Lepisosteus oculatus: one gene and its partners. The protein of the gene in region 3 interacts with the protein of the main gene of each other region in a pairwise test. Links are inferred from orthologs where the notes say so. Each region holds a gene or a part of one and is shown on either strand. Other genes may lie near its edges. The genes, in order: sirt6, serbp1a and chd3.

Evidence for each region.
Region 1: the proteins of chd3 (region 3) and sirt6 interact in a two-hybrid assay, tested with the Homo sapiens proteins (2 studies listed by BioGRID and IntAct). The link is inferred for Lepisosteus oculatus from reciprocal best matches to the Homo sapiens genes CHD3 and SIRT6.
Region 2: the proteins of chd3 (region 3) and serbp1a interact in binary tests that used the Homo sapiens proteins (3 or more experiments, as listed by UniProt). The link is inferred for Lepisosteus oculatus from reciprocal best matches to the Homo sapiens genes CHD3 and SERBP1.

Annotation. Positions count from the first base shown.
Region 1 is NC_090724.1:9,168,463-9,172,212, reverse strand, and holds the start of sirt6 (NAD-dependent protein deacylase sirtuin-6), read left to right. Parts: upstream 1-1,285; 5' UTR 1,286-1,563; coding exon 1,564-1,629; intron 1,630-2,104; coding exon 2,105-2,232; intron 2,233-3,750. UniProt on the Homo sapiens protein: NAD-dependent protein deacetylase, deacylase and mono-ADP-ribosyltransferase that plays an essential role in DNA damage repair, telomere maintenance, metabolic homeostasis, inflammation, tumorigenesis and aging.
Region 2 is NC_090704.1:13,441,689-13,445,438, forward strand, and holds the start of serbp1a (SERPINE1 mRNA-binding protein 1), read left to right. Parts: upstream 1-1,166; 5' UTR 1,167-1,270; coding exon 1,271-1,550; intron 1,551-3,295; coding exon 3,296-3,497; intron 3,498-3,750. UniProt on the Homo sapiens protein: Ribosome-binding protein that promotes ribosome hibernation, a process during which ribosomes are stabilized in an inactive state and preserved from proteasomal degradation.
Region 3 is NC_090698.1:7,525,440-7,529,189, reverse strand, and holds the start of chd3 (chromodomain-helicase-DNA-binding protein 3), read right to left. Parts: upstream 2,926-3,750; 5' UTR 2,467-2,925; coding exon 2,298-2,466; intron 1-2,297.

The DNA of each region.
Region 1 (3,750 bases), on a different chromosome or scaffold from region 3:
CTATCTGTGTGTGTATGTGTGAGTCCGACTATGTTGGTTATTGTCTATGTGCGTGTATGTGTGTGACTGTGTGTCTCAGTGTCAGTTATATCAGTTCGTGTACATATGTGTATTTATGTGACTGGGTTGGTTATTGTCTATGTATGTACGTGTGTGACTGTCTGTCTTTATTGGTTATTGTGTATGTGCATGTCTGTCTGTGTGTGACTGTGTCGGTTGTTGTCTATGTCTGTGTGTGTGACATTGTGAGTGTGTGTCTCTCTTACTTCATTCTTTTTAAACTTGGCCTTAAGACTCTTCATCCTGTAGGCTCTGTAGCTCAACCACTCTCAGATCCTAAAGGAAAAACAGAAAGAAACACATACTGTATGGTTTAACTGTATAGTCAATAGACCAATAGACTTTTTTTAATCTCGTTGTAGATATACTTTCTGACACTTAAGGGTGAAAACAACTCAAACTTTATGGGAAATACAAAGGCTTTCTTACAAAAATAACTGCCTTTTGTTTTTTTAATTCACAGAAGAATCGAGCACTGTTAGATGTGGTATAAGAACACGTCTGGTGTAATACGTGCCTTAGGAATTAATTTCTACAAAAATACTTTACAAAGTTAACCGTGCTGGGAACAGTATGTGCGGAGTACTCACATTCCTAGGCACTAGACAACACAAGACGCGAAATACAGTTGTAGTAATGTTAGTAAATTTAAACTAAATTCAAGAGTCGTACTGTACGCACCTGCGTCGCGCGCCACCTCTCGCTGACGGCTGAGGAGAGGGGAGACTCGAGCCGGGCTCGAGCTCGCTGGGCTCGCCTGTCTCGCTCCTGATTCGACCAATCAGCTGCAAGAGGGGGCGGAGCCTGAGGGGGCGGGTCCAGTGCCTGGCGTGACTTCGAGACCCCATATGAGCACAGAGAGCATCTCTCTTCGTGTCAGTTGACAAAAAGATCTTAGAAAGACACAAAAACACATCCCGGCGAACAGAACTGCGTGAGAACTACCACCAGGAGGTCGTACTTGGTACAAAGTGTGGATCAAGCCGCCCTGTCTTCCTTTGAAAAACAGCTGGTTGAGATCCTCTGGTCTATTCGCTACTATTGATTAGCAATACAGGTCTACAGGTGTACTCAAACAGTGTATTATTATAATGAATAGAACTAAGAGTAGTTAAAGTAGTAAAATTATAAGTAGTAACTTCTTATAAAGTAGGCGTATGTATACAATCAATTTAAACAAAATACAGAATAAAATATTTTGATCGCTTTTCCGAAACCTCAGTCAAGGGGAAAGTTAAACCGGGGTTTCGGCTGCTGTCGGGAACAGGGGAGCGTCTCCTGCCTCTTGGCCCCTCCCCCTGATGGACACGCCCCCCGATGCGTGCTTACGTCGGCGACGCCCCGATGACGTAGGGACGAGGGGGGCGGGTGTTGTATTGATGTGCTAGCGCGAACTGTTAACAATAGTCACAACCAGAGCATTAAGTTTATGATTTTAAGCACACAAAAAAAAGATACGTGACTGTTTAGAGCCGCAGTCCCATAGCTACAGGGCGCAGGGCCATGTCTGTTAACTACGCGGCGGGACTCTCTCCCTATCCGGACAAAGGCATCTGCGGTCTCCCGGAGGTAAGAGCCCGAAAGCTAGGCCGCAGCCTCGGACTTTCCTGTAGCGGAGAACTGGAGGGACTTGTTTACCTGTGAGCACAGCGCCGGCGGAAGCAACAAAGCGCCGGTGTCCGGCGTGTTACTGGACAGCGGCCGTGTGAGCTCCTGCACTGACTGACAGGCGGCGGTTCTGTGCAGCCCGGCGGCTGGAGAGATGTTCTGTTAGAGCAGGGCTGGACATCCCTGGGATACTTCACCAGTATCTGGAGTTAAAAACTGAGATGTGTTATACAGCAGCTGTAGCGCTAGTATTAACAGCATTAACCTGAAACACGTACCAAGTTCTGGGGGGAAAAGCTTTTAACCCTCGGGGGCGAGGCTGGGGTTCCGGTTCCGGTTCCGGTTCGGGTTGGGCGCTGCGGTTCTGAGGGCACAGGTCCCGCTGTGTCCCAGGCTGTTCCTGTGAGTCTGAGTCTCCCCCTCTCCTTGCGTGCAGGTGTTTGACAGCCAGGAGGAGCTGCAGGAGAAGGTTCGGGAGCTGGCCCGGCTGGTCCGCGAGTCCCGATACATGGTGGTCCACTCTGGTGCTGGGATCAGCACCTCCTGCGGCATCCCGGACTTCAGGTACGCACCCACCTGCCGGACACCATGCTGAGGTTCTGTACCGGCCCAGCGGGTGCAGGGAGATGTTCTGTACTGACCCGGCTCTGTGGTGCTGACAGGTCCAGGGAGGTGTTCTGTACCGGCCCGGCTCTGTGGTGCTGACAGGTCCAGGGAGGTGTTCTGTACCGGCCCTGCTCTGCTGTGCTGACGGGTCCCGGGAGGTGTTCTGTACCGGCCCGGCTCTGTGGTGCTGACGGGTCCAGGGAGGTGTTCTGTACCGGCCCGGCTCTGTGGTGCTGACAGGTCCAGGGAGGTGTTCTGTACAGGTCTGGCTCTGTGGTGCTGATGGGTCCAGGGAGGTGTTCTGTACCGGCCCGGCTCTGTGGTGCTGACGGGTCCAGGGAGGTGTTCTGTACCGGCCCGGCTCTGCTGTGCTGACGGGTCCTTTGACTGCTGAAGCGTGTAGCCAGCAGGGAAGCAGCCAGGATGAGTAGATGTGTCTGCAGATACTGTGAAGAGCCAGTTAACACAATAATAATAATAATAATAATAATTCCTCACACTTATATAGCGCTTTTCCGGACACTCCACTCAAAGCACTTTACAGGTAATGGGGATCCCCTCCAGCACCACCAATGTGCAGCCCCACCTGGATGATGCGACGGCAGCCATAGTGCGCCAGAACGCTCCCCACACATCAGCTCTCAGTGGGGAGGAGAGTAATGAAGCCAGTTCAGAGAGGGGGGTTATTAGGAGGCCATGATTGTTAAGGGCCCTGGGATTTTTAATGAGCCCAGAGAGTCGGGACCTCGGCTGCCGGAGCCGTGGGGGAAACGTCTCGGGCATCGTGGAGAAATTTCCAAGGTGTTTATCGTTTTGTTGTTTTGTACCCCAGTCTCCCATCCCTCTTTGTACCCCTTAATGTTTGCACAGTTCATCTCTGTATTATTATTATTCGTTCAATTAAGAGGAAGGGTAGCCGCCAGTGGGTCCCTTAGCTGCTGTGCTGCTTTATAACCACCAGGGGGAGGCAGTTCCCCATGGTGGCGCCCCTGCTGTTCTGGCTGGCTCTAGGGTTGCCATGGAGACAGATGCAGGTCAGTCTGGGTCTGAGTTAGACACACAGATGGCAACAGACACATGGAGTCATTCTTGTATAAAAAGGCTATAGAAAAAGATGTACTTAACGTTTTCATGTCTTAAATTCTTGAGGTGTGTCTTGTTGTGCAGAAAGGGTATTTTCCAAGAGTGTATTTTTTTTTATTAAGTTTGAGGAGAGCCTACTTTTGGGCCAGCAGGGTGCGGAGAGGGGGGTGTGACGCCGGGGACCGTTTCCCGGGCGCTGGCGTGTGTGCCGGTCGCGTGTGGGGCCGTGTGCCTGGTGCACACGCAGGGGGGGCCCGGTCACTGCCTCATCGGCCCCCCCGGCGAGCGTTGGCGGAGCGCGAGGCCCGCGCCCGGGTCGCTGGGGGCGAGGCTGGCGGGCGGACGCAGTCGAGCGAACGCTGATGGCGCGCTGTCCTCTCGGGCAGGAGCTGT
Region 2 (3,750 bases), on a different chromosome or scaffold from region 3:
CAGATGTCAACAATTAGGTCACAGACAGCCACCTTACAAGATGGTTCTTTGCCATTTTGTTTTATTCAGATCCTCTTGTACTTAAAAAAAACGATCATTTAATCAAATCAGCTGCTGTATTAGTTCATATAACCATAGCTAGAGGTAATGCAAATTCATAGGACTACTCGCTGTCTGTGCTTATTATGATACTGTTGGTACTGCATATACTGCAAAAGCCAGCATAATTGAAAATACAATTTCATTTAGAGATAAAGAGTAAAACATAAAAAGCAAAATAGCGTTATTTTCAAATTTTGGAATTAGAAAAATTAGAGAAATCAGTCAATGGTAAATGCACTAGCTGACTAAATGCAGGCAGACTCAATTTAAACCAGGCACATAAATGCAAAAATTGTCACGCTGGATGGCTGTGCTATCAAAGAATGGCCTCATAGCACATTACTGTTATACTCCTTTTCTAACTTCACAATTTCAAAAAGCTTGGAAATAACAACCATAATCTCCCACTATATTCCATTCAAGACCCCTATTTAAAAATGCATTAGATGGTGCTTCAGGCAATTGTTATAAAGAGCAATTCTCGTTGAAACGCTAACGCTTTTAAATGCTTAAGTAAAATATTTTTATTAAATGTTACGGTGAGAAAATGTTAAAGCACACTGGTTGTGAACGAGAGGCCTGCGCCACCATGTTTTCAATAAAGCTTTCACTTGCTACAAAGCAACACTCCTTAGGCGCTGTTCAAAATGTGTACTCCACTGTTTGAAATGCATGATACCATTAAAATCAAATTACATAGCATCAGCCTCTAATGCTAGTATTGATCATGTGAATGAAATGAAAGTGAATGAAAGCTTTCAGTGATTAGACTGACAATTCTGAGCATCTGCAGACCAAGAAAAATTAAATGAAACCACACTGACACAAGCGTGCACGTTCCCTTTCAGTTTACCAACAGCATGCCATGCCGAGCGCTACTAGTTACAGTTCCCAAGCAGACGTTTTTCAAGAACAGAAACAAGCACTTTAGCTGCAGATGCTTTCCGGGACTTGTAGTCTTTCACTGCAGCTCCTGCAATATGTTTCTAGAGCCCTGCCTCTATTAAAAACTACATTCTCCATGTGGCAGCGAGCTTGAAGTCCCGGATGTCTATCGCGCCGGAAGAGAAGACGGTCTCTTTCCCGGCCATCTTGTGGCAGCATCAAGCGAGCTGTTCGCTTCAAGCCTCGTAGAATCGGAGGAGAATCCCGCTGAAGGGGCGCCATCATGCCCGGACACCTGCAAGAAGGCTTCGGCTGCGTCGTAACTAATCGGTTCGACCAGCTATTTGATGACGAGAGCGACCCCTTTGAGGTGTTAAAAGCGGCCGAGAACAAGAAGAAGGACGGGGCCGCCACTGCTACCGCCAAGACTGCTGCTCAAGCCGCTAAGCAGCCGAAAAAAGAGTCGCAGAAGGACAGAAAGAACCCGCTCCCTGACAAGAAGGAAGAGACACAGGCTCCTGTGCCTCTCAAAAAAGAAGGTGACTTTTTTCCCCCTTTCTCTGGTCAGTGGACTGCGTATTTCAGAACATGGAAGGGGGTTGTGTTAATGTTACTGCGTAAACCCCCCATGAGGTCAACAACATGGTTCCTATTCTAAGCCAGTCAGACAGTAGTTCAGTGCCTTATACACGCTCGGCCAAGCTAAAAATGTACGCCTTTGGGGACTCGAAAATGCATTCTTCCTGTAGTCTCCCGGTGGTACCTGCGCATGCTTTATCCGGTGCTGAAGGGGGTCTAGATACGGTTAATTCTTTAAAATGCGTTTCCTAGTACCAGGCCTGCAAGATACTGCAGAGCGGGGAGGTTGCTGAAGTGTTTCGGTCTGATTAAAGCAGTTCCAACGCCGGCTACAGCAAGGCTCTCTCGCAGAGGCCTGGCGCTGCAGCAGTCAGGTCGCCAACCTCGTGGTGGAAGTTTGGGGAAGGCTGTCGAGCTGTCACAGCACTCGGAAGTCGATCTTCGCGAGTCGTCGCTCGCCGTGGAAGGCGTGGTGCTGGGAGCTAGCGAGGGAATTTTTAAACAATCGTTTGACCCCCTCGGCGTCGTTGGGCTTCATCAGTTTTGTCCTCTGCATGTGACGCAAACGGGCTCGTTCGTTTGCATGCATTCCTTTTAGATTTTAGTCCAGCGGCATGTACATCTCGGAACAGCTCTCACGTGCTTTGTTTGCATGATGTCGACTTCACGCCTGTATCGGGCAAACAGGAACCGCGCTAGGGCTTTATTCTAGTACCTCGAAAATTGTTTTTTTTTCCCCCCCAAACACGAGCTTGCGGACCTTTCTTGGGATGCACCCAACAAAATTCAAAATGGACTCGTTTTTATTTCGACTAAACCTGGAACTGGGCGCTTGATTTTTTTTCTAAAAATAGACGCATCCTTTGTAATCGTTTTAAAACGAAAGTGGGCGTTTACCAATTCAGTAAAAGGGCTTAATTTAGATAAAAAGTCCAGTTTGGTCCCATACAGAAGAGGCGTCCCCAACAGGTGCACATCCAAATGTGCCAGCAGCTGTCGGGTTAGGCTATATGGAGGTGTTCTGCCTGAGGGCTGTTTTTTGGAGGGGGGTGGGGTACAGATGCACTGGCTCTTAGAATTGGGAACCTTTTGACCAAATGATTTCTCTTGGTATATTGAACTAGATCTCCATCTAGTAGCAAAAGTTGTAACTTACCTCTTGAGAACCCAATATTGTGGGTTTTTTTCACTTAGTGAAGTGGTTTCACACCTTTCCAGCTCCAGTCGCCACTCATGCTGTAAGTCAGCATTATCATTATTCAGTTCATACTACATACAGGAGTTAACACATGCTTTTTGATTTGGTATGTACAAACTCGCTTGTTAAACCTGGTTTCTGCTAATTAGCTTATGACGCATTCGAAAAATACTCAGGAGTGTAAAATACATAAATCACCTGCTAATTAAGTTGGGGGTGCATTATAAAAAAAAAACATTTTAAGTCTTCTAACATCTTTCTTAACTTCACAGCAAACTAGCATTATGTCCTTTAGGAATTAAAATTATAACAGGTTGAGTTAATTTCTTCGTTTTAGCGGTTGTCCAGTTTGAAATCCACGTATACTTTTATATTCCAAAGCTGTAATTGAGTTCAGTAATCTAATTTATTTCTTTTAAATTGGACAGGACCAATAACACGTTGCGAGTTGAATCTGAATCGTGCTTCCCTGTTCACGGATGAAGGATTAGATTTTTCAGGCCTAACTCACCAGCTGGCTTTCTATTTCAGGTATCAGGAGAGTTGGCCGTAGGCCTGACCAGCAGTCCCCACACCAGGGGCAGCAGTCCCAGCAGCAGGGCTCTCAGCAGCAGGGGGGTCAGGGAGAGGGCAGGCCCGGCGACAGGAGGCCAGACAGGAGGCCCCCACGCGACCGCCGCTTTGACAAGCCTGCTGAAGAAAAGCCCGAAGGTGGAGAGTTCTCTGTGGAGAAGTAAGCTTACGAACAGTATAAGGGTTAGGAAGCTGTGGAAGGGGATGTTTATGGGCTGAGTTGGGGGCTAGTGGTTTTTTTGGGGGGGAGAGAAATGATTTCAGTTTTCCCAGACTTTGCAGAAAAAATGTAGATATGCCAAGCCATCAGCCCCTACATTAAAAAAAAAGCACATCAGTTACAACACAAAAATGTGTTCCTCAATGTTCAAAAGCTCTTTGTTTTTTAGAAGAAATTGAGAATTCTATATTAA
Region 3 (3,750 bases):
TAAGCGACAAAAAACAGTTATGTGAGAAGCATAATTAAGACGTATTGTTGTTGGTGCCTGTTTAAGAGGCGAGCTAAAATTCCAGGATCTTAAAATATTATGTCAAAACTTAGTCCCACAAACATCCCGGTCCTGCGGATTGAGAGAAGTAAAAAACATGCCATTCGTACAACACGGAAACATAAAACTAAAAAAAAACCAAAAGAATAAATTAAATCAGTTTCCGGCTTCACACAAAAAGCATTACAGTTAAGCTCAACCAACGAACCGGTCTTTCATTTTAGCTCCGCTTACCTACGTTTAACTGAAATGAACGGAGGATAAATTCACCGAGTTGAAACTCGAAACACCTCAACTATTTTAAGAGCAGCATTTTTTTCTGAAGTGTTTGAACAATGAATAATAAACAAATTCCTTTAGTGGGTGTTCTCCCATACTCACAAAAACTCTCCTGGGTCTTTTTTTTCTCAGCGTTGACACGACTGTAGTTTTTACCGCGCTACAGAAGGGCGCCAATCGTGTTTCGTCTTTTGCCTGTTAATTCGTATTTTCCCCCCTTTTGTTTTACAGCCACGTTTTTCCATCGTGTACGTGATGTGCCAATCTCTGTCGTGTTTACAAGGCTTTCGGAGGCTGCTGAAATTTACTGGCCGCAGGCGACGCAATGGAGCTCGCGACTAGGGGGGGAGGGGTAGACACTTCTCTCACGCCGAAGTACAGAGCGGAGCCAGAGGGGTTGGGTGTCTACTCAAACCCGCAGGCTTTCAGCGGCCCGCCGCGCTCAGTTGGTGTAACTAGGCGATGAGACGCCACAGTTTATATCCGCCACCTGCGGCCAGCCAGACACAAAGTTACAGCTGGGTCAGGATGCAGGGGTTATCGGGGGACACGGACTGTGTCTCGCCAAACCTGTTCTCTTTTTCTATTGGGGGGCAATATTTGAAAGATGGTAGGCGAACCTCGCCCTAATGACACGGTAGTTGTCTCCCTGTTTCTGTCTGCCGAATGCAAAAGGTTTCTGGTTGTTTTCTACTGTTTTTTCTTGAGGTAACGTTATCAAATACTCTTTTTTAAAAAAAGCCTACATCTAAAGATCCTGGTACACAAATATGCTTGTGAAACTACATTTTTACAAGTTATTTATATTCATATAACTTGTTTTTTAGTGGCAGAACCCACCCCAGCGTTATCGAAATTGAATATCACTTGTGTATATAAATAAAGATTTGAATTCACTGTTTTTTTAACTGTATGTACTATTTACTGTTTTTAATAATTTAATTTAATATTACAATATATAAAGGTCATATTAAACGTACGTATAGCCTATATACATCTAGGTATTTTCAATACATTAAATATGCGAAATTAACTCATTTCATAGTTTTGGTTACTTCCGAATGTATTCATTCAATCGACACCGACATTAATAGCAATATAACTGCAGATTTTAAGAAATATGGGGCTGTTTCTCATTTTATGAACTTTAAACATCTCGAAGGTTCGGGGGGTGAAGCAGACAGGTCTTTTATGTGTTTATGCATCGCTGTTCTCGGGTTTCTCTCTCTCCTGTAGAGAAAGAAACCATCTGATCTGTATAATTGGGGGTCGCTTGGGAGATCCCCCACACAGACAGCACTGGAAGGAAAAACACTATCTCGCAGTGTGGTTTGTGTACGCTCTCACCCGCAACAGTTACAGACAGCGGGGAGGGTCAGCGGCGTGTCAGTGACTCTCACACTCGGCACACACGCACCAACACCCTCTTTCATGAATCCGGTCACTCCAGAATCCTCCTCCCTCCAAAATAAAACATTTTTTTTCTACATTTACCAACAAAAACAACAAAATAGGAAGGTACAGACGTGTAGGTCACGGCGCCACAGCGGGTGTCAATCGCGACAACAATGATAAGATATTCATACGTACTTCATTGATAAGATATGTACATATGTATTACACGGGGAGACAGGGAAATGGAAAGTGTGCGTCTTCTACGGGGTTGTAGTGTGGTGGTGTGTGTGTTGTGGGGGGCTCTCAAAACTAGGTAGCTATGCGAAAGAATCTTTTTTTTTAAAAAAAGCTTCAAGCTTCGTCGATTCGGCACAGTACTTTGGTTAAAGTTGCGCTTTAACTCTTTAGACTTCCTAAAGCAGTTTCAGTGCTATCTCATCACGGTGTGGAACAGGTAATGAACAGTATTAAAATGGGATTTATTTGCATTCCGATTATTATTCTTATGATTGTTTAAGGTTGTTCCTATGCGCGCTCCCGTGTCTAGGCAGCCCGTACTGTACCTGGCGCGGCTACTGCTGCAGTTTCTCTAGGCGCCGCCGGCGAATATATGTCGCTTGTGTTCTCGTCCAGCGCTCCGTCTTCCCCGTCTTCTTCTTCATCGAAATCTCCACCCTCGGAGTTAACCGCCATGCCCTCATCTTCCTCACAGCCTCGAAGAGGAGAGGACATTTTTCCTGTTGCCGGCCCAGTGTATAGGAAATAAAAAAGGTCTTCTCCCGGAATTATGAAATTTATTTAATATTCAAATCGGCCAAAAAAAATGGGGGGCGTTTTGGAATATTTTACACACAAGGCAGAGAAACAAAGATGGCCGCCCTTATATTTATTTTTTAACAACCCCCCCAATAAGAAAAAAAAATCCCCTTACATAAAAAATGGCTGACTATATTATTTCAAAACGCCCCCCCTCCTCTCACTCGCTCTCTCTCTCTCCACTCTCCCCTCCCTCCATTCTGAAAAAAAAACATACACACATTGTCAAATAAAGGGTGTATTCGTTGCACGTAAATCACATTATCGCGTTGTTTTTTTCATGTGTATTAGCGCTGGTTACTGTCCTTTGTTTCGAGAGCATTCTTATAACCCTCACTCCCCGCACTGCAGAAAGCGATGCGAAATCTAACAAATATGGCTCCCTTCATATCTTTAAAGGCCCCCACCCCGAAATAAAATGATTTAGGAAGAGGGAGCTGGAGGCTGGGGAGAGAGAGAGAGAGAGGGGGGGTTATTCGTGCTTACATCAGCTCGCTATATTAAAATGCAACTTCTACATTTCTGCGCCGAAAAGAACAAAAAACACCCAAAGCCAATTTAGCGCGATTTACAGGCTTAAAACCGAAGTTCAGAGTTATCTTCAAATGCAGAACAGAAATATACTTGCAGCGTATGAAAAGTGAAGCCACTTTTTTTGTTCAAATCAAGCACCGAGATGTAAAATATCCGATGACTAAATTCCTAGACGTTTGTAGGTTGTTAGTATTAATAATAATGATAGTCGTGAAACTGTGAAAACCTTTAGGTTATAGAGGACGTATTTGTTTTTAACATACACAGGGGTAATTAACGCGTATATATATTTTAATCAAACGTGCGGCGAGCAGAAAACGACGAAATTGCCTTATTTTATTACGCGTGATGCCTCCGCCGGACTTTTAACTACAATTATTCTGCAGTTCGACTTGTTGTAAAAGCGCTTTGGGATGCTGCTCAACACGACACGTAGACATGGGTGGCCGATTTATTGATGTGATTGAGACGAGCACAGGATGAAGGAGGTGGTGTCTGTAACCATTAAATACAGAAGGCGCCTAAGAGGAAATGAAATACTTAAAACAACTGAAGAAATAGCCATTGAGGGAATTATAATAACTAGTTACATATTTTGTTTTTATTAAAGAATGCCTGGACTCCTGTAAATATATAGCTGTGTTAATGAACTACACCAATATATTT